Linked DNA regions of Nothobranchius furzeri. The protein of the gene in region 1 purifies or fractionates together with the protein of each later gene. This does not show direct contact. Links are inferred from orthologs where the notes say so. Each region holds a gene or a part of one and is shown in the gene's direction. Other genes may lie near its edges.

Region 1 (6,533 bases):
ACAGCTAAATGCTGTGCTGGTGGTGGGATTAATAAAGAAATGTATAAATTGTTTCTTCATCTGTAGAACGGAGAACTGAAGCTAGCTGATTTTGGGTTGGCTCGAGCCTTCGGCATTCCTGTCAGATGTTACTCAGCAGAGGTAAGTTGGACATTAGAATTTTTTTTTTAAAAGTAGGGGAAATTTCTGAATCTGTTGCAAGAGAGAAGCCAAGATGATTTTATTTGCAATTTTTTATACAAGTGAGATTTAAAATCTAGAAATTAACTAAAATGTAGTACACATAGAAATATGTGTGGGTTGCTTTCACACTATGTTTGACATTAAACTGAGCAACAAAGACAGATCTGTGTCCCTCTGTGTGCATATAAATGTTAAGTGGGTTGTTCAGAGGGACGTGAAATTTTAGAAATTTGTTTATTATCTGAAAAAATGATAAGACTGACCTCAGGACCAAGCTTTTATGTATGAAAGGCTCAACCAGAGTGACACTACAATGTAGAAATGTGGCAAACTGAAAACTTAAAACACTGAGAGTTTGAAATTAGGTCATTTATAAGATTGTTTTATTTCAGAAAACAAAAAGATCATACCTCTGTTTGACAAAATGTGACAAATTATTTTTATATGCAACATTTACAAAGAGTTGGGAAGTTTTTCTTGTGTTCAATCAAGTCTAGCTGAGATTCCTGCATATTTATGGAGGTTGGAGGTTTTTTATGGAACTGGAATTGAGACAATATGTAACTTGTACCCAGCTTTGTAACCTGTAACATGTTTTGTAACTGTAACTTTTATTTTGTAACTTGCAGAAAACAATCAATGTACAAATTTCAAATTACAACTTTCAACACACAAATCTCAGTCTACAAGTACAAAACATTTTGTCCAAATTCTAGCTTCCTTCCCAAAGAACCAATGACAGGCTTTGTCTGACCAGCCAATCATGAGTCTTGGATTCCTTTTCAAATAAAATTCCTGTTTCCTGCAAGCTAGAATTGTTCCTAAATGTTTTGTATTTGTAGACTTGAGTTTTGTAACTAGACTGAGATTTGTGTGTTGAAAGTTGTAATTTGAAATTTGTACATTGTTTTCTGCAAGTTGCAAAATGAAAGTTTCATGGTATGTACCGAAGTTAAGCCGGGCGTACACTGTGCGACTTTTTCACTTTTTTGAGCCGATTTTCCAGTCGTGCGAGAATCCACGACATCGGGGCGAGTTTTGCGCCGAGCGGTCGTGTAGTGTGCAGGGGGTTACGAGAGGCGATTAACACCACGTGACCAGCCGCCGATCAGCAGTCGTGAGGTCGCAGGGACTTCTGGTGTGTTTAATATTTTGCTCATCCCTCGTGAGGGTATCGCACTGTTGAAGCAGCGCTGCGAGCAGCTGCGAGCAGCTACGATCCAAAAAAGTATCAGAACCGCTCACGGCGCATGCGCGCGCAATCCTGCATCAACGCCGGCCGGTCGCTCGCTATTTCCCTAATAACACACGCTGTTCGTTTTTGTTTCTACACGTTTTTTTTACTCACAAAGATTGTCAAGAAAGCGTGTTTGTCGTGTTCATGTCAAATTAAACTGATCACAAAACACAGATTCACTTTCTTTATTTCATTTTCCTCATTCAACCCCCATAAGTCTCTGTGTGTCCTCCTGCAGCACTCCCGAAGGACAACAGGCAAGACAAAAAAGTCTGACGTGTTGAGTAAAAACTGCTATTTTTAGCACATTTTTAGGGCCGACGTGTTGCTACCAGACGTACAGTGTGAGCAGTCAGATCGCATGCGAGAACTGGGTCGTACAGTGTGAGCACACGACTCGTGAGATCTGCTCTGCGAGGAAGTCGTACAGTTTGAGCTGAAGCTGAACGCTGCGAGTGAAAAAGTCGCACAGTGTACCCCCGGCTTTACATGTTACAAAATGAAAATTACATTCTACAACGTCATAGTTACAAAACATATTACAAGTTACAAAACTAAGTACAAGTTTAATGTAATATTGTCCCAGTCCTAGTTCCATAGTTTTTTATATGTTGGGACCGGGACTTCTTTACTCATTATTTATCCTATTTCTTCAAACCTTTTAGCAAAACTTCTAAAGAATTCTTCTGCAGCTTGAAGTTAAACACCAAAAGTTACTTCTGTCAGTTTTAAACAAACTCGGTAGTATAAACAAGCACAGCTGTTTCAGGAGAAATCTTGCACCTTCTGTGAAGCTTTTTGTTTTTCTACAGGGTGTTCCTTTACCTCAGTGACACGTTCAGTTCATTCATGTACAAAATGCTGTTTCAGTAACAGGTGGCCACATCATTAACATCAGCATCGCTGTGAGAACTTTTGATCCTTTGTTGCTGAAAACCAGCCAGCCCACACACTGTTCTGTTAATGCATCATAATTTGGACTTCTACTGCACTTCAGGTGACAGTGTTTTCCAAAACTTGGAGGAATAAATGTAAAATAGCCGGCAATGCAGCAATTTGGTCAAATGCACCAACGCTTGAGTTAAAATGGAGGTGGGTGTAGGTTAACGGTGCTGCGGGAACTTCAAGTTGGATTCACCTCAAAAAGCACCAAAACACTGGGCTGTTGTAATGCTGCTAACGTCTCTGCAGGTGGTGACGTTGTGGTATCGACCTCCAGATGTCTTATTTGGCGCTAAACTTTATTCTACCTCCATCGACATGTGGTCAGCCGGGTGCATATTTGCAGGTTTGTTATTTTTTTCCACTTGTGAATGTGAAAGGTAAAGTTTTTATAAGTCATTATTTGTGTGTAAATGGTTAAATATTCATATTTTATCTACTTTAGTAATTTGATTACTATTAGCTAATAATTACAACTGCAGTTTTATCTCATGCAATTCTTTTACTTTGTACAAAATAAAATCCAGATGTATAAGAATGCATGGGAAGTTCAGGTGCAGTAAGCACAGTGGCTTTTTAGCTGATGAGGAGAATTTATTTAGCCAAATATGTATTTTAAGTTTCAGCTCAATTACTCTCAACAGTAGCTGAAGGATTATTTATGCCTGCTTAAGTGAAATCAGTGACACCGTTGATGCTTTAAATTATGCTAACTTATGCTTCCTCACGTCCTCTTGTGAATCAGAAATCATTTCCTCCTCCTCCATCACTCAGGAAAGGGAAATCTCCTCTTGTAATCACCCCAAGGGGATGAGAGGATTCTGAAGAGTAGTTATTCAAAGTTGTGACCTTCCTCACACCTGTCCCTCGTGCCTTCTCTCAAAGTAATTGTTGGGAATATTTTAGATATTAGATATCTTCCCACACAGGAGACTACAACTGTTTCCTCGGTAGAAATGGAGCAGTCCTGATGGTGGTTGTCACTGGTCCTGCTTCTGCTGTGTGTGCGCATTCAGTTTCACTTTTGTTTTTGTCCGTGCCCGTGCTATTGTCTTGATTTTTAATAGGTAGCCGCCACCTGGTGGCGTTAACCACGGTTAATAGTCAAACTGGTTAATCCTGCCACAGCCTCCAATGTAGACCGCACCAATGTTCACTCTTTGTCCAGTTCATGCTTTCTTTGCTTTGCCTCTCTTTTTACTTCCAGGCACCACCATGATGCAAACAAAAAACTCTTCTTTTTACACTTTTTTTTAACTAATGATCAACAAACTAAAAAGAGCTACCTGGTAGCCTTTTTATTAGCTACCAGCATAGTAAACACCCCAACTGTTGCTGCACCTCTCACTTGTCCTTTCCTGAACCACAAAGTTGCTTGGTGCAGTTTCTGGCCAGAAGAGAGCTGCAGAGTGCTGTCACATGTGAAGCTGCTCAACTTCGGGTTCAAGAACCACTGAAACCAGCTTGAAAGCATTACCTTAAACTGTTAAACTCTTTAGTGTTTCTTTAAAGAGCAAGTCACCCTCCCACCAGAGTCTCACTCCACCTACACTTCCTGTTTGAAACCAAAAGGAGGTGTCGCCTGGTGGACCAAGAGAGCGGTGCTGAGGCATTGATTAGGGAACACTTGTTCAAGTGTTGCATTTAAAAAAATCCGATGTTTTGTTGTTTTGCTCTAGAGCTGGCTAATGCTGGACGGCCATTATTCCCTGGCAATGACGTGGACGACCAGCTGAAAAGAATCTTCAGATATCCTTTGCCAGTAAATCTGTCCATCTGTTACCAAGAGTAGACTTCTGTTTTTATTATTATTCCTGTAAACATTTAGTCTTTAACCACTGCCTACATTGTTGGGAACACCCACCGAGGAACAGTGGCCGACTATGACGAAGCTTCCTGATTACAAGGTAAATTTAGTGGCTGATTTTCTCTTGACAGCAGCCTTGGACGTTGGTTCCAACACAAGATTTTTGGACCTTTTTTCCAATAAAGACACTGCTACTCTTGTATTCTTCCACCAGCCATATCCCATGTATCCAGCCACCACATCACTGGTGAACGTGGTTCCCAAGCTAAGCAGCACAGGACGAGATCTACTGCAGGTACTTCAACATTTCTATTTATAAAAAAATAATTCAATGCATGACTGTTGTCAGCTTTTATGCTTTGCACAGATTGTTGCTCATTAAAACCTTTCCCTTGATCTGATCCAGAACCTGTTGAAATGTAATCCTGTCCAGAGGATTTCAGCGGAAGAGGCCTTGCAGCACCCTTACTTTGCTGATTTCTGCCCACCCTAAACACTAAATTGCTCCTTACTGAGGATCAGAGACACAGGAACCAATAATCCATCACTCGTTTTATCATTAGAACCACCTCTCAAACCCCTCACTGGTACTTGAGCAGTTCGTTCTTTTGTGCCTGTGTGTGAAACAAAGCCCCGGTGGCTCTGCTGTGTTTTAGGGCCTTCTAAGTTAAATGCCTGTGTAATTTGGTCCAAACACACCTCAGCCAGTTAGCACCAACATGAGCAGATGTTGCATTGAATAAATTTTTTTTTATATATTCCTAGAATTGTTTATTTCCTGCTATTTTGCCTGTTTTAATAGTGTTTTATTATCAGAATTTTAATTTATTAAGTTTTAACTGGGATTTGTCCTAATCGATACTCATTTAACTTGTTTAATTATCTCAGATGCTTGAGAATCAAAGTGCTTGTATATAACGCATCAATTACTCACTCAGCCTTTGTAAAAGAGTCAGTAGTATCCCTAAGGAAGTAGCTTAAACCGACTGAATCTGCAGAGATGTGTACAGACATTTTAATCCCCTTAACAAATATTTATACTAGCAGGAATGGGAAAATGTGAAAGTAAATGAGCTCAGACAGCGACTGAAATCCTGTGACTCTGGACAAATAATGTAAAGATGGCAGTAGATGTGAAGTCTTTTATGAGATTTTTTGCACACACTGATTTTATTATTATTGTACCCACTTGGGTACTTGACACAGACCAAACAGACAGCTCAGTTCTGCATTAACGTGTCCGGACAGTCCCCAAATCACGTCACACAACCTTTGATCAGAGCTGGATCAGTCCCTCGTTCTCTCTCTGAACTTCCACATACAACATCTATGTGCAGTAAAGATGCACCAAACCTGATCTTTAAGTAGTTTTGTGTATATATACAAATCTATAGCGTCAGCCATTTATTATGACCATGTTTAAATCTGTAAGTCACAAGATCCGTGTATATTTATCTAAATTTTTGGAGCTTGTTTGTTAGTGGTAAGTTGCCAAAAGCTACAAAAGGCCATGCTCGTCTACAACGCGACTCATTTATCTCATCAGAGGTTTAAATGCTTATGGACATTCACTAATTGTGTCTATTTCTAGATTGCAAAATAATAGAAACTAATTTAGTTCTTTCTTAGTTATTTCATGCAATTTATCTGTTTTTCCTATTTCCACCAGTAGTGTTCATTAACTTTACACTTCTTCAAAAAATTACAGCCATCAATAAATAGAATAGTGACATTTTATGGCTCTTTTATATTTATTATGGTTTATATATTTTGGGGGGTAGAAATGCAAATAAAATGACAAGAATCAGTTTCACATTTTTTATGATTGTTTTCACCAGTATCAGTTTCCATTTGTAACATGTTATAACAGCTGTTTGTTTCATCTCCATGGTTACTGCTGCTGTATGAAGCCAACAGCATGAGTGTTGTCTAACGCATCTGTCTCACTAAACCGTTTTTCCATTTAATTATGTGAGACAATGAATGCATGTATTTATTAAGAATGGAGTGTTTTTATTCTTATTTATGAAATGTACCAAACATTTTTCTATTGTACAGAAACATTCTCTGTAGAAAAGTTGTTTTATTGCCTCTTTTTAGATTTTGTTTTACAGCTTTTTCAAACTTAAATGAAGGGTTGGTTTTGCACTTTGACCTCTGTTTTGGCTAGAACCTGGGAGAAACATTGTGACTGTATGTTTAAGCCACTAAGACACAGTAAAATCTGCACAAATATATCTTTTCAATTATATGTGAAATTATTTGCAGGATTTTTAATGCAGATTTTCTATTTTTGTTGGTTTGATCAACACAAAATGTGGATTAGTAATTAAATATAGACAGTTCAGTAATGGAAAGTTTTCC
Region 2 (6,433 bases), on another chromosome or scaffold:
GTGTTTGTGTTTTGTTTTTTTTGCTGCAGGGTGTGATGGGGATTTTTTTATAATGTGCATGGCTCCAGTCTGTTGGCTGGCTGCAGGTGGCAGAATGATGGGATGTGGTGCCTTCTATGTGCTTTGTCGATATTATCAACTCGTCAATAACTAGTTTTCCATGCAGGCATGCAGCTAATGCAGTTTTTATTTATTCTGCTGATTATTTTACCATCCCGATTAAACAAAAAGAAGGGATGGTGGCCGAAAGCAGAGATTTTAAAACATCATCTTTGCTAATAATATTGTCATACTAAATGAAATACCAGTCTCAGTATTTCTCTACTGATTCTGGAAAAACATTGATTTTTTTTTATAAAGCCCCAAGGTGCTGTACATAGTGCAGATAATCATTAAAAACTCTGTAAAAGCACATTATGGTCAAATGAAAGCATAAAACATTAAAAACAATAAAAAATTATAAGCAATAGGACCAAAGAGCAATCAGGAAAAACACTAAAATAATTAATGAAACTAACTAAATGATCTAAGATGAAGCTTTAAAAATATCCAGACGTGGACTGTTTTAGATCTGATGGAAGTTGGCTTAAGAGCCAAGGACCTGTGACTGATAATGCGCGGTAAACCCTAGACTTGCGTGTTGACCATTTTGACCAAGGAACCACCAACAGGTCACTCCGAACCGAGCGTAGAGACCTAGCAGGGATATAATGGTTCACAAGTGAGTCTAAATATGGTGGTGCTGATCCAGACAGTGAGTTAAAAACAAAGGCCAGGATTTTGAACAGAATGCAACATTTTACAGGTAACCAGTTAAAGGCAGCCAGGAGGTTTTTTTTCAGTTAGATTGCCAAATCAATAGGTTGTAGGTTGTAAGCTACTAGAAAAAAATATTCTCAGTTTTAATAATTTTTAGGTAATAAATTAAAGGAAATTGTCTCTTTTACTTCACTTTTTAGCACATTTTCATTATCTTAATGTTTTTTTTGTCTACCCAGTTTAAATATTTTGTTAAATTATTTGGCAATTCAATTAAATAAATATTAAAATGTATTCCATTTCAGAGCAAACCGTAGCAGAGTTGGCGGGTGTGATTCTCCACGTTTATGTGGAAGCTTCCCCTACGGTGGCGGGGAGTTTGCGAGCTTTTTAGACTGAACACAGAAGAAAATCCTCTGAGCACATCAGTAACCATGGCCAGGGTTAAATGAACATTGCATGTTCTTTTTGGTATTATAAAACTCCCCTTATTGTTCATTCTTAGGCTTTTTAGGGAGTCCTTTATGCTTTGTAACATCTCTATTCTCCTCCTTTCCTCATCAGTCCTCTCTGCGATTGTTTTATCGTCCTGACTGTAGTTTGTCTTCTCATAGTGACTGTGGAGTGCTGTTGTTGTGCTGTGCTTGTTTGTTTCTTTCTTTTTCTCTCTCTTTTCTGTACTAACGGTGTGTTCTGGCCCAGCCTTGGGTAACGCGCGCTCATACAAACTGCTAGACTGGAATAGTGTCACTGCAGGTATTTTCCCCCTTTTTCTGCTCTCACCCATCAGAGCGATGGCGGTTCAGTGGAGCTAAATCTAAACTTTTTACACTTAAATATATGTATGAATTCACTGAGCTGCCATCCTCCTCTTTCTGTTCTCTGTGTGTATGTGTGTGTGCTGAGCTGAGCATGCTCTGTGTCATCACCCTGCTTCATCCAACCTGGCCTGGCTGCCTTCCCCCCCACCCCCCATCTTGCTGCTTCCCAGAGCTGCAGCCCTTCGCTGACGTCGTCCCAGGGTTGTTCTTAGTGCCTCCTGAGTCAGTGGTCAAACCTGTCTAGACCAGAGGAGGTTTAGGAGGTTTGCTCTGCATCATAGAGCCACCTACTGGGCATGTGCATCCCTAACTCACTGGGCCGTATTCATACTGAGAGTGAGAGGAGAGACGAGTGATGAATGGACAGATGTATGGAGGCAGACTGATGGGGCGAGCATGTGAGGAAAATTAATCCCTCTTTTTAATTAAAAAAATATTTAATGTACTCTAGTGAATGAATATAGCCCTTCTCTAGTCATGAGTGTGCACGTTGGTGAGCCTGTGCCTGTCTGACACGCTGCTGCTGGTTTTATATGAACCCACTCTGATCATCACTCATTCTTCATCTCTATAGTTTGATCACTCACCATTTTCCCTAAATCCATTTCTTTTCCTTTGAGGCTTCCGTCAGCATGTTGGGCTCTGGCGCCACACTCTTTTGTGTTTTCCTTCAAGTCCTCTTGTGTTTACCAACCATCCCGTGTTGAGTTAAAGGGATATTATGGCCATTTTGAACTGTGTGTATATTTCCTGTTGTACATAGCCACCTGAGCAGCCTCTGTATGGGGAAGTTGATCGGACGCTGTTCTGTTTGTAATTTTTACCACTTAAAATGTCTGAAATGTTCCTCTAATTGCTCAACTTGTAGAATCTAGAGTCCTTCATACAGCGACAACACAGAGATATTTCTATTGAATCTCAAAATTTGAGAAAGTCTCAATCTGTTCAAATTGATCAAGTTTACCAAAAAGCAGATCAGGTACTCTTACCTACTTCTGTTCCAGCTAGCATGACTGTGCCTTCACAGGTACAGATCACACGTATTTCCTGTGTCCTTTCTGTGAGTGGAGCCGACTGAAAGGAGACACAGAGACGAGGACTAGCCAGGCTACTAACATCACAAACTCCTCACATTGCCTTTATCGTCTCCAAATGCTCACAAATCATTCTCTGTGTCACTTTGTTTTACAAAATGACAACCAGTTTTTGCTTGCTTTAATAAGTCATGTGACTCATAAACCACCAGGTTTTTGTGTGTGTAAACTTTACTGGTAAGTCGGAGTCGTTAGATTAGATGCAGACTCACTAGTAGTGTGTTTGAGGTTGTGACGGATGCCTAAGCCTGTTAAATATATTTTATCAAGTTAGAAAGCTGCTTTTTAAAGCTGTTTGATTCATCACTTTGTGTTTTTACAGATGAACCGGAGACTCGCGATGCCTGGTGGGAGGAGATTCGCCAGGAAATCAAATCGCACGCCAAAGCTCTCGGTTGCCACGCTGTCGTTGGGTACAGTGAGAACACGAGCATCTGGTACGCAGCGGCGCCTGCGTGAAATCAGGAAAAATGTTCTTTTTGAATGGCTGCTTCAGTCTTTGATGTCCAGAGGCCTCATTTATTAAAACTTTGAGTGGAATGCTGACTAGAGCTCTGAGAGTAATGTAGATGCACAGAAAAAATGTTATTGCCTTCGAGTTGCATGTCCTTGTTGCAGCGGTGACTCGTGGTGCAGCTGAGGAAATTGCAGCAGACATAAAAAGAAGGAAGTGGTCAGATGGAGGTAAAGAGGAAGATGGCAATAGTCATTGATACTATTCAAAATGGCTGCATTGGTGCTCAGGGTTCGCTGAGATACCCCAGATCCAAGGGGAACGTTTAATTTAACCCAAAGAGTCTTAAAGTGATGGTGTGTATTTTTCCTGGTGATCGGGGGCAGTACATACCTAAATCATTGCAAGCAAGCCTTATTTTTGTGTTCAAATAAGACCTTACCAATGGATGGCCATTAGGGTCAAAAATCCCTGGGAGTGCAACCTCCAGCAAAATGTCAAGCACATCATAAGGCAGCTTTCTAAATAAGTCCACTATTCTTTTATTTTCTTTTGATCACAGCGAAGAGGTCTGTATCCTGTCAGCTTCAGGCACAGCAGCCATCTTGAATCCTCGCTACATGCGTGAAGGCTGCCTGGACGTTGGAAGCATCGACCACAGGTTGATTAGATTTCTTGCACATTTTAAAAATTGAATTCTGTTTCATCTCAGAGTTTGATGCAATAAGAGTCGGGTTCGTTGCACAGGTTTGATGATCCTTCACCTCCCAACTGTGGCTTCTGTCACATCCCATACGACGAGCTCAACATGCCGTTTCCTGCCCAGCTCGCGTATTGTTACCAGTGCAGACGGCAAAAGGTTGTTAGCTTAAGAATTGGTTAAAACATGTTTGTTTTATATTTTTCTCTTCTTGGTCACAAGTTTAAAACAACAGCCATATTCTTTCAAGGTTCCTGATGTGCTTTTCACAACAATCGATCTGCCAGCAGAAGCAGCTGTCACAGGAAAAGGCTGCCTCATTCAGGCCAGGTAGAAACACTTCAGGAAATATACAAATAGCCTCCTTAGTCAACTTAGACTTTGAAAAATACCAAATTCTCACGATTGCTTTCTTCTAGATTGTGTCGTCTGAAGAAGAAAGCCCAGGGAGAAGTGAATGCAACGGCCATTTCGAACCTGTTGCCTTTCATGGAATACGAGCTGCACACTCAGCTGATGAATAAGCTGAAACTACGGAGCATGAACGCTCTCTTTGGACTCCACATACAGATCAGTGTTGGAGAAAACATGCTCCTGGGATTAGCTGTAGGTCCATATTTTAGAAAACACAAAAGAAAAACTTTTTGTGTCTTCTAAAAAGTGTGTGTGTGTGTGTGTGTGTGTGTGTGTGTGTGTGTGTGTGTGTGTGTGTGTGTGTGTGTGTGTGTGTGTGTGTGTGTGTGTGTGTTTTCAGTCGGCCACAGGAGTGTACCTGACTGCTCTGCCAGCACCAGGAGGGATACAGATTGCTGGGAAGACTCCCGGCGACCTGAACAATGAGCAGCATGTTGCAGCTATCCAGAAAAGAATCAACGATGCCATCGCCAAGAACAAAGAGCTCTACCAAATAAACCCTCCGGTGAGAAACACAACTCTGGGTTTTACAGGAAATAAGATGGTGGAACGTGTGTTTTGTGATCGTGTCTGGTCTCCTTTGGCTCTGTTGTAAAGGAAAGGTACAAAAATGCTTCAGCACAATAGGTGCCAGTGGGGAGGGTTGTTTTTAGTCCAGAGATGATGATAAAAATCAATGCTTTCTTACAAAACAAGTATATTAAATATTTTTACTTTGCCATTATTTACCTCCAGATATGCACAAGGACAGTGAAATGAGAGCAGGCTCATTTGTTTTGATACATTGAGTGCAGTACTCACATTTGACCACAGGATGTCACTCTAGCTTCATGCTCCTTTTAAACAGTAACACAAACAGTCCAAATGACAAGTTATTTAAATTAGTTGGATCTGGAAATCATTTCAAGCTTGTGTAGAGTTGGATTTTAGTATAAAGAGAGGGGTTTGCTTGAATAAACACCATCTTCTGTCTTCTTTTTAATTGCTAAAAACTATTTTTAAATGAGAAGAAAGGCAGCAAGCTACAGCCAAAATGTCAAAGATTTCTGCAGCTTCCCTCCAGAAAAAAATGTCATTAAACTGCTGTCTGTGCTCCGGACATTTTTTTTTTTAATCGAGGTAAATCTACTTCCTCTTGTCTCTTTCTGAAAGAAATTATTTGCCCTGGACCCAGAGGTGTTCTGCGGCACCACCATGGTACTGAGCATGACAGATATTAGCTGGGAGACGCAGCAAAGCATGGCAGATACTTCACATCATTAATCGCAATAATTGACCAACTTTGCTGTAACTGTGTGACGGCTCTTAACCCCAGACTTGTGAGCGACGTGATGCATAACTCACACCAAGTCCGTGTGACGTGTTGTAGTTTAACCCAGTTCCATCTCTGTATTTTTTTTTATTTGTGTGTGTTTGTGTCGGTAAAGCAGCACAGAGTGAATGTGGGCATCTAGAGTTACTAACATAGTCAGTATGTTAGTTGATATGTTAATAATCCAGCGTTCACTCATGTTCCTTTGCTCGCAGGAGCTGACAGACGAAGGAGTGGGTTCCCCGATCCCCGAGCCGAGGCAGCGATCCAGAATTTTCCGCTCCCACTCAGAAAGCTCTGATGAACTCTCTGAACTCGATCTATCACACGGCAAAAAGGACGCCTTCGTCCTGGAGGTGTCTACAAACACGTGCACACCAGTTCACCTCTTTGCATGAGTCACAATAATAATCAGCTGTCTTCCTCGCAGATTGATGACACCGACGCTGTGGAGGACATCCACTCTCTCCTCACTGATGCACCTCCACCTGCAGGTTTCTGCAACGCTCCTGCCCCCCTACCCCATAAGGGCTTAAAGCTCCAGCTGTTTGCATTTCTGTGCTCTCTTTGTTTTGTTTGCAGGTTTCCACAGCTGCAGCACTGAGACCATGCCTGGGATTTATAACTGGACGTCAGGAATACAGGTACACCTGCAATTTAAATATGCAGACACCCTGCTAGTTATGAGGGTTTTCACCATCACCTCACATGTGTTACAGATGTTTACATCAGTCAGGGTTCTTAGGTTGAACAATACCAATCTAACCAATCAAGGCCTTAACAAGATCTTCACTGACCTTTGTGAGAACCTGCTTAAGGTAAACTACCTTCATTTGTTCATCTTTATGGTCACACATGTTTTTTTATTGAACTCCCGGC
Region 3 (6,533 bases), on another chromosome or scaffold:
GTCTGGGAACATCAGATGGAGGAGAGCTCCCGTTTGTCACAATCCGGACCAAACTGGGACACAAATATGTCATGAGGGAAGAATTCACGTAGGTTTTAGGGTCAAACGGGGCTAAACGTCCATTGAAATGCTTTTATTCATTAATTTTCTCTTGCAGGGTATCCGCGGGTCCTTAAATTTACTTTTCCAAAGGCCTTGAAAATCTTTAAAAATGACAAATAATCCTTAAATACAGTTTCCAAAGGTCTTAAATTACCAAAGACCCAATAAACTAGATTATTTTATTTCTATGACATTTTCGTGAATTTCAGCATTTTTTGTGTACGATACTGGCGTAAGCGGAACCGTACACATTCAGTTGGTTGTGAAAGGGGACTATTTTTAGATGAGCACGTTAGCTGGTTAAGCTAGTGGGAGCTTGCGCCATGGAGAAGTGCAAGTTTAATGGTAACTGGATGGCTAATCCCATGTTTGCGACGTGGTTAGCACCGGTTCCAGGCAATAGCTAGAAATTATAGCTTAAAATTAATTTAAAAAATAGCTTCAATTTGGATCTGGATCGAAAGGAGCCAGTTGAGGTGGTTTGGGCATCTGGTCAGGATGCCTCCTGGACGCCTCCCTGGGGAGGTGTTTCAGGCTTGTCCTGCCGGCAGGAGGCCCCCGAGTTGACCCAGGACACGTTGGAGAGGTTACATCTCCAATCTGGTCCGGGAACGCCTTGGGATCCTGCCGGAGGAGCTGGTGGAGGTGGCCGGGGAGAGGATGGTCTGGTGCTCCCTAGTTGGGATGCTGCCCCCGTGACCCGGACCCGGATAAGTGGAGGAAGACGACGACAAGCTTAAATTTGGTCAAAGTGGCCTTAAAAAGGTCTTAAAAAGTCTTAAATTTGGCTCCCTTAAACCTGCAGATACCCTGTCTTGAAAATGCTGCTCACATTGCATGAATGACAGCTGGTCAGTCTTCAGGATACTAAAAGTTGACTGGTGTGTTTCAGGAGGGATGGTCAGTCACTGGGGAGGTTCCTTGAAGATTATTTTGCCGGTCGTCTCAAACGTTACATAAAATCAGAACCTTTACCTGAGAAAAACACGGCTCCTGTTAAGGTGAGCTGAGCTGCTTGTGAGCGTGACTGATTGTAAATACTGATTGTAAAAAATTTGTGCTGACCTCCTTTTGTCTTCAACACCGCAGGTGGTTGTCGCAGAATCATTTGATGAAATCGTGAACGATCCTGCTAAAGATGTTCTGATTCAGTTTTTTTCCCCGCTATGTCCACACTGCAAGAAGCTGGAGCCGGTCTACAGAGAGCTGGCTGACACGGTACACAGCTTTATTGTATTTTTGATTAAGTTTCAGTGCACTAAACTCTAGAATTAGGTCGTGTTGCTCTGATAGTAATCTGAAAATGCTCTTTATGTGTTCTCAGTTGCATTCTGACCCAAACATTGTCATTGCCAAGATGAACGCCGTCTATAATGACATCCCACTGGGATACGATGTCCAAGGGTGAGGATGACGATGTTGATGAGCACTTTTAAAGAAGAAAATTCATGAGTCTTTATTTCCTATGATTTTATTCTTCTCTCCAGGTTTCCAACCATCTATTTTGCTCCAGTGGGTAAAAAGGATGAGCCCATTCGATACCAGGTACCAAGTTTTAATAGTTTCAGCTTGAGTTCATCAATCTTTGAGACACATGATGTCTAATGGTTGTGGGACATCTTGATTTCAGGGCACTCGAGAGCTCAAAGACTTCCTAAAGTTCCTGAAGAGTGAGGCGAGTCATGGTCTGGTGCTGACTGGGTTTAAGGACGAACTGTGACAAAGATTCACCTACTGATCAGAACTGACTTTGATTAACAAAAAGATCAAGTCTTGTAACAGCTACACAGACATGAATGGGCAGCAAGAGCTCTGCTCCTGGTGACACACCAGAAACAACGAATCAGGACATGGTCCACCCATTTTTGTTTCTACCAATCAGATTCTTTCCATACTCCCCTCTAAAACCATGTCCTTGCTGAATAGAACTATTTATATATTTATTCATTTATAAAGCCATTTCATGTGCAATTCTTTGTTTTTTTATTCCAGAAAACTAAATGCATTTTGATATAATACCATCTGTGCAGTTTGTATTTGGTGCTGTGTTTAGTTTTTATTTATTTATTTATTTATTGACTTAATTACTTATACTTTGGCAGTCTTTGGTTATTTTGTGAGCTTTGTTATGTTGAGAAGCTCTGCTGAGATTATGTAATAAAACCATGCTTGACAACTGACTGTTAATTAAATTCTCATGAATTAATACGCCTTAATAGCTTTTGTAAAATTGTTTTCAGCCGTTGTTTTTATGATGGGATTTAAAAAGAAATTTAATTTTTAAATTATACTTCAGTGTGCCTGAGTTTGCTCAACCATTATTTCCATGCCTGTGTGTTGTAATAAAGCTTAATAATAATAGCTGGGATCAACTGAACAAACTTTGCAAGTTCCACGAGTGTTAAAACACATAAAAGTCATTTTCAATCTTCGTAAAAAAAATTTTTTTTTTTTTTTGCTAAATCGTTGTGGGTTCTATTTCTATTAGGTTTTCTCCATAAAAGGCCTATTACTAGAAGAGTTTACCTCATTCACTCTATTGGTGAATGCGCATGTCAATCAAAAATAATAGTCTTTGCTAATTGGCCGGACCTCAAGTAATGTCTTGCCCATTTTGTCTGAGCCGTCCCTCTCCTCGTGCCACCCAGAACCTTCGAGGCTAGTGCTGTTAGCGTCGTGGTCTCAAAATGCTCGGCCAGCAGGTTTTAGTGCTTAGTAAGTATCGAAATTTGTTCTTAACTATACTTTCAATAGTTAGATGTCGGTTACTTCCCGCCAGTTTCTGCAATTTAGTCAATTTTGTGACCGTTTGAACGCGGGGCAGATCGGCTGGGACACAAAGCAGCTAAGGATGCGCTAACCAACTGTTATAACTCAGCCGAGCATCAGCTTCTTCCACCGGTATTAGCATTGTTAGCCTACATGCTACTGATAGCATCCACACCCAACCGGCATCATTAGCATATTTAGCTCGTGTTCGGAAGTAGCGGAAAGCGTGTAGGTATGCTAGGCTAGGCTAGCTTAAGCTAACAGTCCTCTTACTCATCATGAGCGTGCAGTTAGACAACTGCGAACATTATATAATAATTAAAAAAGACATGAAATTACCTTTGATGCAGCTATTAAACACGATTTTGAATTAGTTTTGTGTGTGCGCTGTGACTGAACTGAACAACAAAATAAGCATCCGCTTTAATACATTCCGATTTCGATTGATCTATTTGATAGCCTGTAATTGCGAATTGACAGCATTGTTATCCTGCAAAAATCAAAATTCATTCATTCATAGTGTCTGAAATCACGAAAGCTCTATCTGTACTGGTATATTCCGTCCATTTTGTCTTTACAATTATTTTAGACTAGAATAGATAGCTCCCTCAGTGGGGGGATTTTGGTGTCACAGCAGCAATTAAATTCATTATAGGAGCTAAAAAGAAGAGTATAACATAATAAAAAAATTACGACAACAAAAAAATTATTTAAATATTCGAAACACTCATTTTATTTGGAATGCAATAAGAAAATGTTTTATTTAGCTGTATAGATATTACTAGTTTAATGATACAATCCAACAAAATTGATTTTAAATAAAGATGCAACAACTCAGTTAGTAAGGAGAATAATTTACTACAAAGGATTCTAGTCATAGATGCACTTTGGCCTACGTGACTGGTAAATCATATTCATTAATTTTGAAGCATTTTAACAGTGTTGGACATTTGTCAAAAATGATCTGTCACATATTTATACACAGCTGTTTTTATTGATTTTTTTTAATGTAATGTGTTGGTTTGTTATCGATCTGGCAGGCATGGGATTGCTAACCATACTGATAAATTACTTCTTTAAAACCAACAATTTCGAATTGCTAGTCATTTAATTGGGTCACTCGAAATAATGGCTATCTGTGTTTTGAAGCAAAAACACCCTTCAATTAGGTGACTCTGTAGTGATTTCTCTGTTTTCTTGTCTCTTTTTAGACCAGAATGTGAAGAGAGAATCAGGACGTAAAGTCCAAACTGGAAACATCAATGCAGCAAAGGTCAGTTGTTGCTGTAAAACGTTAAAGCTTGTGTTAGACAGTCTCATCTGTCTTTTGAGTGCGGAAGAAAACTGTTTAATGTTTGAGATTAGCCAATCTAGGCTGTTTTTTTGTTTTTAATATGGAGACGTTGAGTAGCTGGGAAAGAAAAGGCCAGACTAGAGTAGAAATTCCTCTTAATAGACTGAGATCAGTCTCTGAAGAGAAAAATGCTTCATTTGTTTTAAAATTGTTTTATTCCCCCAGCCCTTACATATATTGTTCTTGTGCAATCTATTTTAGACCATAGCCGATGTGATCAGGACCTGCCTCGGCCCACGGGCCATGATGAAGGTGAGTTTGTCTATACAGAGAATCACCGCACCCAGTCATTTACAAAAATAAAATAAGTCCGTAATATTCCATGTTTTCATGTCATTTTGTCTAGATGTTGCTTGACCCTACAGGAGGAATCGTAATGACAAACGATGGAAATGCCATCCTCCGAGAGGTCAGGGTCACATAAACACTTGGAAGTTTGTCACTTCATCAATTCCTTCAGTGTTTCATAACATCCTGCTTCTCCATGGCAACAGATTCAGGTACAGCATCCCGCAGCCAAGTCGATGATCGAGATCAGTCGCACACAGGATGAAGAGGTGGGAGATGGGACCACATCAGTCATCATACTGGGTATAAAAGCTTTATTTTTAATCTAAAGAAGCTCAGACTTCCCCTTTAGAGGGAATTCAGTTTGTTTTATTTAACATCCGTCATTTAATGTCTCAAATTTCAGCTGGAGAGATGTTGGCTGTAGCTGAACAGTTTCTGGAGCAGCAGATGCATCCAACAGTGATCATCAGTGCTTACAGACAGGCTCTGGAGGACATGTTGGACACACTGAAGGAAATCAGGTAGAGTCTGACAGTTTCCATCGCCTCCTTGTTACATTATAATTATTTTTGATTTGTTGTAAGCCAACCAAACAGCAGCTTAGAAATAACATTACACATTTATGAATGAGTTAATTTTGTGAAACTTGTACAGGAAGTTTGACTGAATATTGTTGTCCTCCTCCAGCATCCCCGTGGACACTTCAGACCGCTCCATGATGCTGAAGATTGTTCACTCTGCCATCAACACCAAAGCTCTGAGCCGCTGGTCGGAGCTGGCCTGCAACATCGCGCTGGACGCCGTTCGTACGGTGGAGCTGGAAGAGAACGGGCGCAAAGAGATTGACATCAAGAAGTACGCCAAAGTAGAGAAGGTACGACTGTTGCTCATTACACCTGATCACTTTAGGTTAGAACAGAAGATCAAGTGTTTCCTGCATTAATTGCATTCATTCTTTTGTCTCACATCTCCCGTGTTGTGTTCAGGTTCCAGGTGGAATCATCGAGGATTCCTGTGTGCTGAAAGGAGTGATGGTGAACAAAGATGTGACTCACCCAAGAATGAGGCGAATGATCAAAAATCCCCGTATCCTCCTGCTGGACTGTTCTCTGGAGTACAAAAAGGGGGAGAGCCAGGTATAGTGAGCTGCTTCTTTGTCTTAGAACATAACCAGATTATATAAATCAGTATTTAACTCACATTTATTCTACAGACAGACATAGAGATAACTAAGGAGGAGGACTTTGCCAAGATCCTACAGCTGGAGGAAGAATACATCCATCAGATCTGTGAGGACATCATCCGCCTCAAACCAGACTTGGTCTTCACTGAAAAGGGCATTTCAGGTACCTGAACAACTTTTGGTGTTTTTCTCTGTTGTTCAGTCTTTGCATTACAAAGGCAGCTTAAAAAGAACTGTTATTCAGTCCTAACTCTTCTTTACTCGTTCAGATCTGGCTCAGCACTACTTGGTGAAGGCAAACATCACTGCCATTCGCCGTGTGAGGAAGACTGACAACAACCGCATTGCCAGGTATATTTGTTTGTTACGCAGAGAACTTTAACCAAGTCAGTCCTACTCTGACATAGCTTTATACGCTTGCTGTGTTTTTCAGGGCGTGTGGAGCTCGAATTGTGAGCCGAACAGACGAACTGCGTGAGGAAGATATTGGTTTGAAGGCCGGGCTGTTTGAAGTAAAGAAGATCGGAGATGAGTATTTCACTTTTGTCACAGAGTGTAAAGATCCCAAGGCCTGCACTATCCTGTTGAGAGGAGCCAGCAAGGAGATCCTGGCGGTGAGTTTCCCCATCTTCTAAATCAGTCCGGTTAATATGTGCTTTGTGTAAGGACGTTTGTGTTCTGCAGGAGGTGGAGAGGAACCTGCAGGATGCCATGCAGGTGTGCCGTAACGTGCTACTCGACCCATTCCTGCTTCCTGGCGGCGGCGCTGTTGAGATGGCGGTGTCGAAGCGTTTGACAGAGCGTTCCCGCGCTTTGACGGGGGTCGAACAGTGG

The links.
Region 2: the proteins of cdk5 (region 1) and c2cd5 purify together in Homo sapiens (affinity purification with mass spectrometry; 6 studies listed by BioGRID and IntAct, counting the BioPlex papers as one, with this or other methods). This does not show direct contact. The link is inferred for Nothobranchius furzeri from reciprocal best matches to the Homo sapiens genes CDK5 and C2CD5.
Region 3: the proteins of cdk5 (region 1) and cct3 purify together in Homo sapiens (affinity purification with mass spectrometry; 3 studies listed by BioGRID and IntAct, with this or other methods). This does not show direct contact. The link is inferred for Nothobranchius furzeri from reciprocal best matches to the Homo sapiens genes CDK5 and CCT3.

Annotation. Positions count from the first base shown.
Region 1 is NC_091751.1:49,907,327-49,913,859, forward strand, and holds the end of cdk5 (cyclin-dependent kinase 5), read left to right. Parts: intron 1-66; coding exon 67-141; intron 142-2,611; coding exon 2,612-2,708; intron 2,709-4,041; coding exon 4,042-4,111; intron 4,112-4,208; coding exon 4,209-4,269; intron 4,270-4,383; coding exon 4,384-4,464; intron 4,465-4,575; coding exon 4,576-4,662; 3' UTR 4,663-4,933; downstream 4,934-6,533. UniProt on the Homo sapiens protein: Proline-directed serine/threonine-protein kinase essential for neuronal cell cycle arrest and differentiation and may be involved in apoptotic cell death in neuronal diseases by triggering abortive cell cycle re-entry. Interacts with D1 and D3-type G1 cyclins.
Region 2 is NC_091744.1:70,675,093-70,681,525, forward strand, and holds part of c2cd5 (C2 domain-containing protein 5), read left to right. Parts: intron 1-1,461; coding exon 1,462-1,515; intron 1,516-2,996; coding exon 2,997-3,111; intron 3,112-3,690; coding exon 3,691-3,789; intron 3,790-3,875; coding exon 3,876-3,987; intron 3,988-4,078; coding exon 4,079-4,158; intron 4,159-4,247; coding exon 4,248-4,434; intron 4,435-4,582; coding exon 4,583-4,747; intron 4,748-5,394; coding exon 5,395-5,439; intron 5,440-5,769; coding exon 5,770-5,910; intron 5,911-5,984; coding exon 5,985-6,048; intron 6,049-6,136; coding exon 6,137-6,198; intron 6,199-6,273; coding exon 6,274-6,372; intron 6,373-6,433. UniProt on the Homo sapiens protein: Required for insulin-stimulated glucose transport and glucose transporter SLC2A4/GLUT4 translocation from intracellular glucose storage vesicle (GSV) to the plasma membrane (PM) in adipocytes.
Region 3 is NC_091759.1:9,429,845-9,436,377, reverse strand, and holds the start of cct3 (T-complex protein 1 subunit gamma), read left to right. Parts: upstream 1-2,686; 5' UTR 2,687-2,789; coding exon 2,790-2,817; intron 2,818-4,082; coding exon 4,083-4,144; intron 4,145-4,426; coding exon 4,427-4,477; intron 4,478-4,571; coding exon 4,572-4,634; intron 4,635-4,719; coding exon 4,720-4,816; intron 4,817-4,919; coding exon 4,920-5,037; intron 5,038-5,203; coding exon 5,204-5,390; intron 5,391-5,502; coding exon 5,503-5,652; intron 5,653-5,729; coding exon 5,730-5,862; intron 5,863-5,968; coding exon 5,969-6,050; intron 6,051-6,132; coding exon 6,133-6,313; intron 6,314-6,383; coding exon 6,384-6,533. Other genes in the region: pdia8 (protein disulfide-isomerase A3), read left to right, coding at 1-88, 995-1,103, 1,192-1,320, 1,427-1,506, 1,590-1,647, 1,733-1,822. UniProt on the Homo sapiens protein: Component of the chaperonin-containing T-complex (TRiC), a molecular chaperone complex that assists the folding of actin, tubulin and other proteins upon ATP hydrolysis.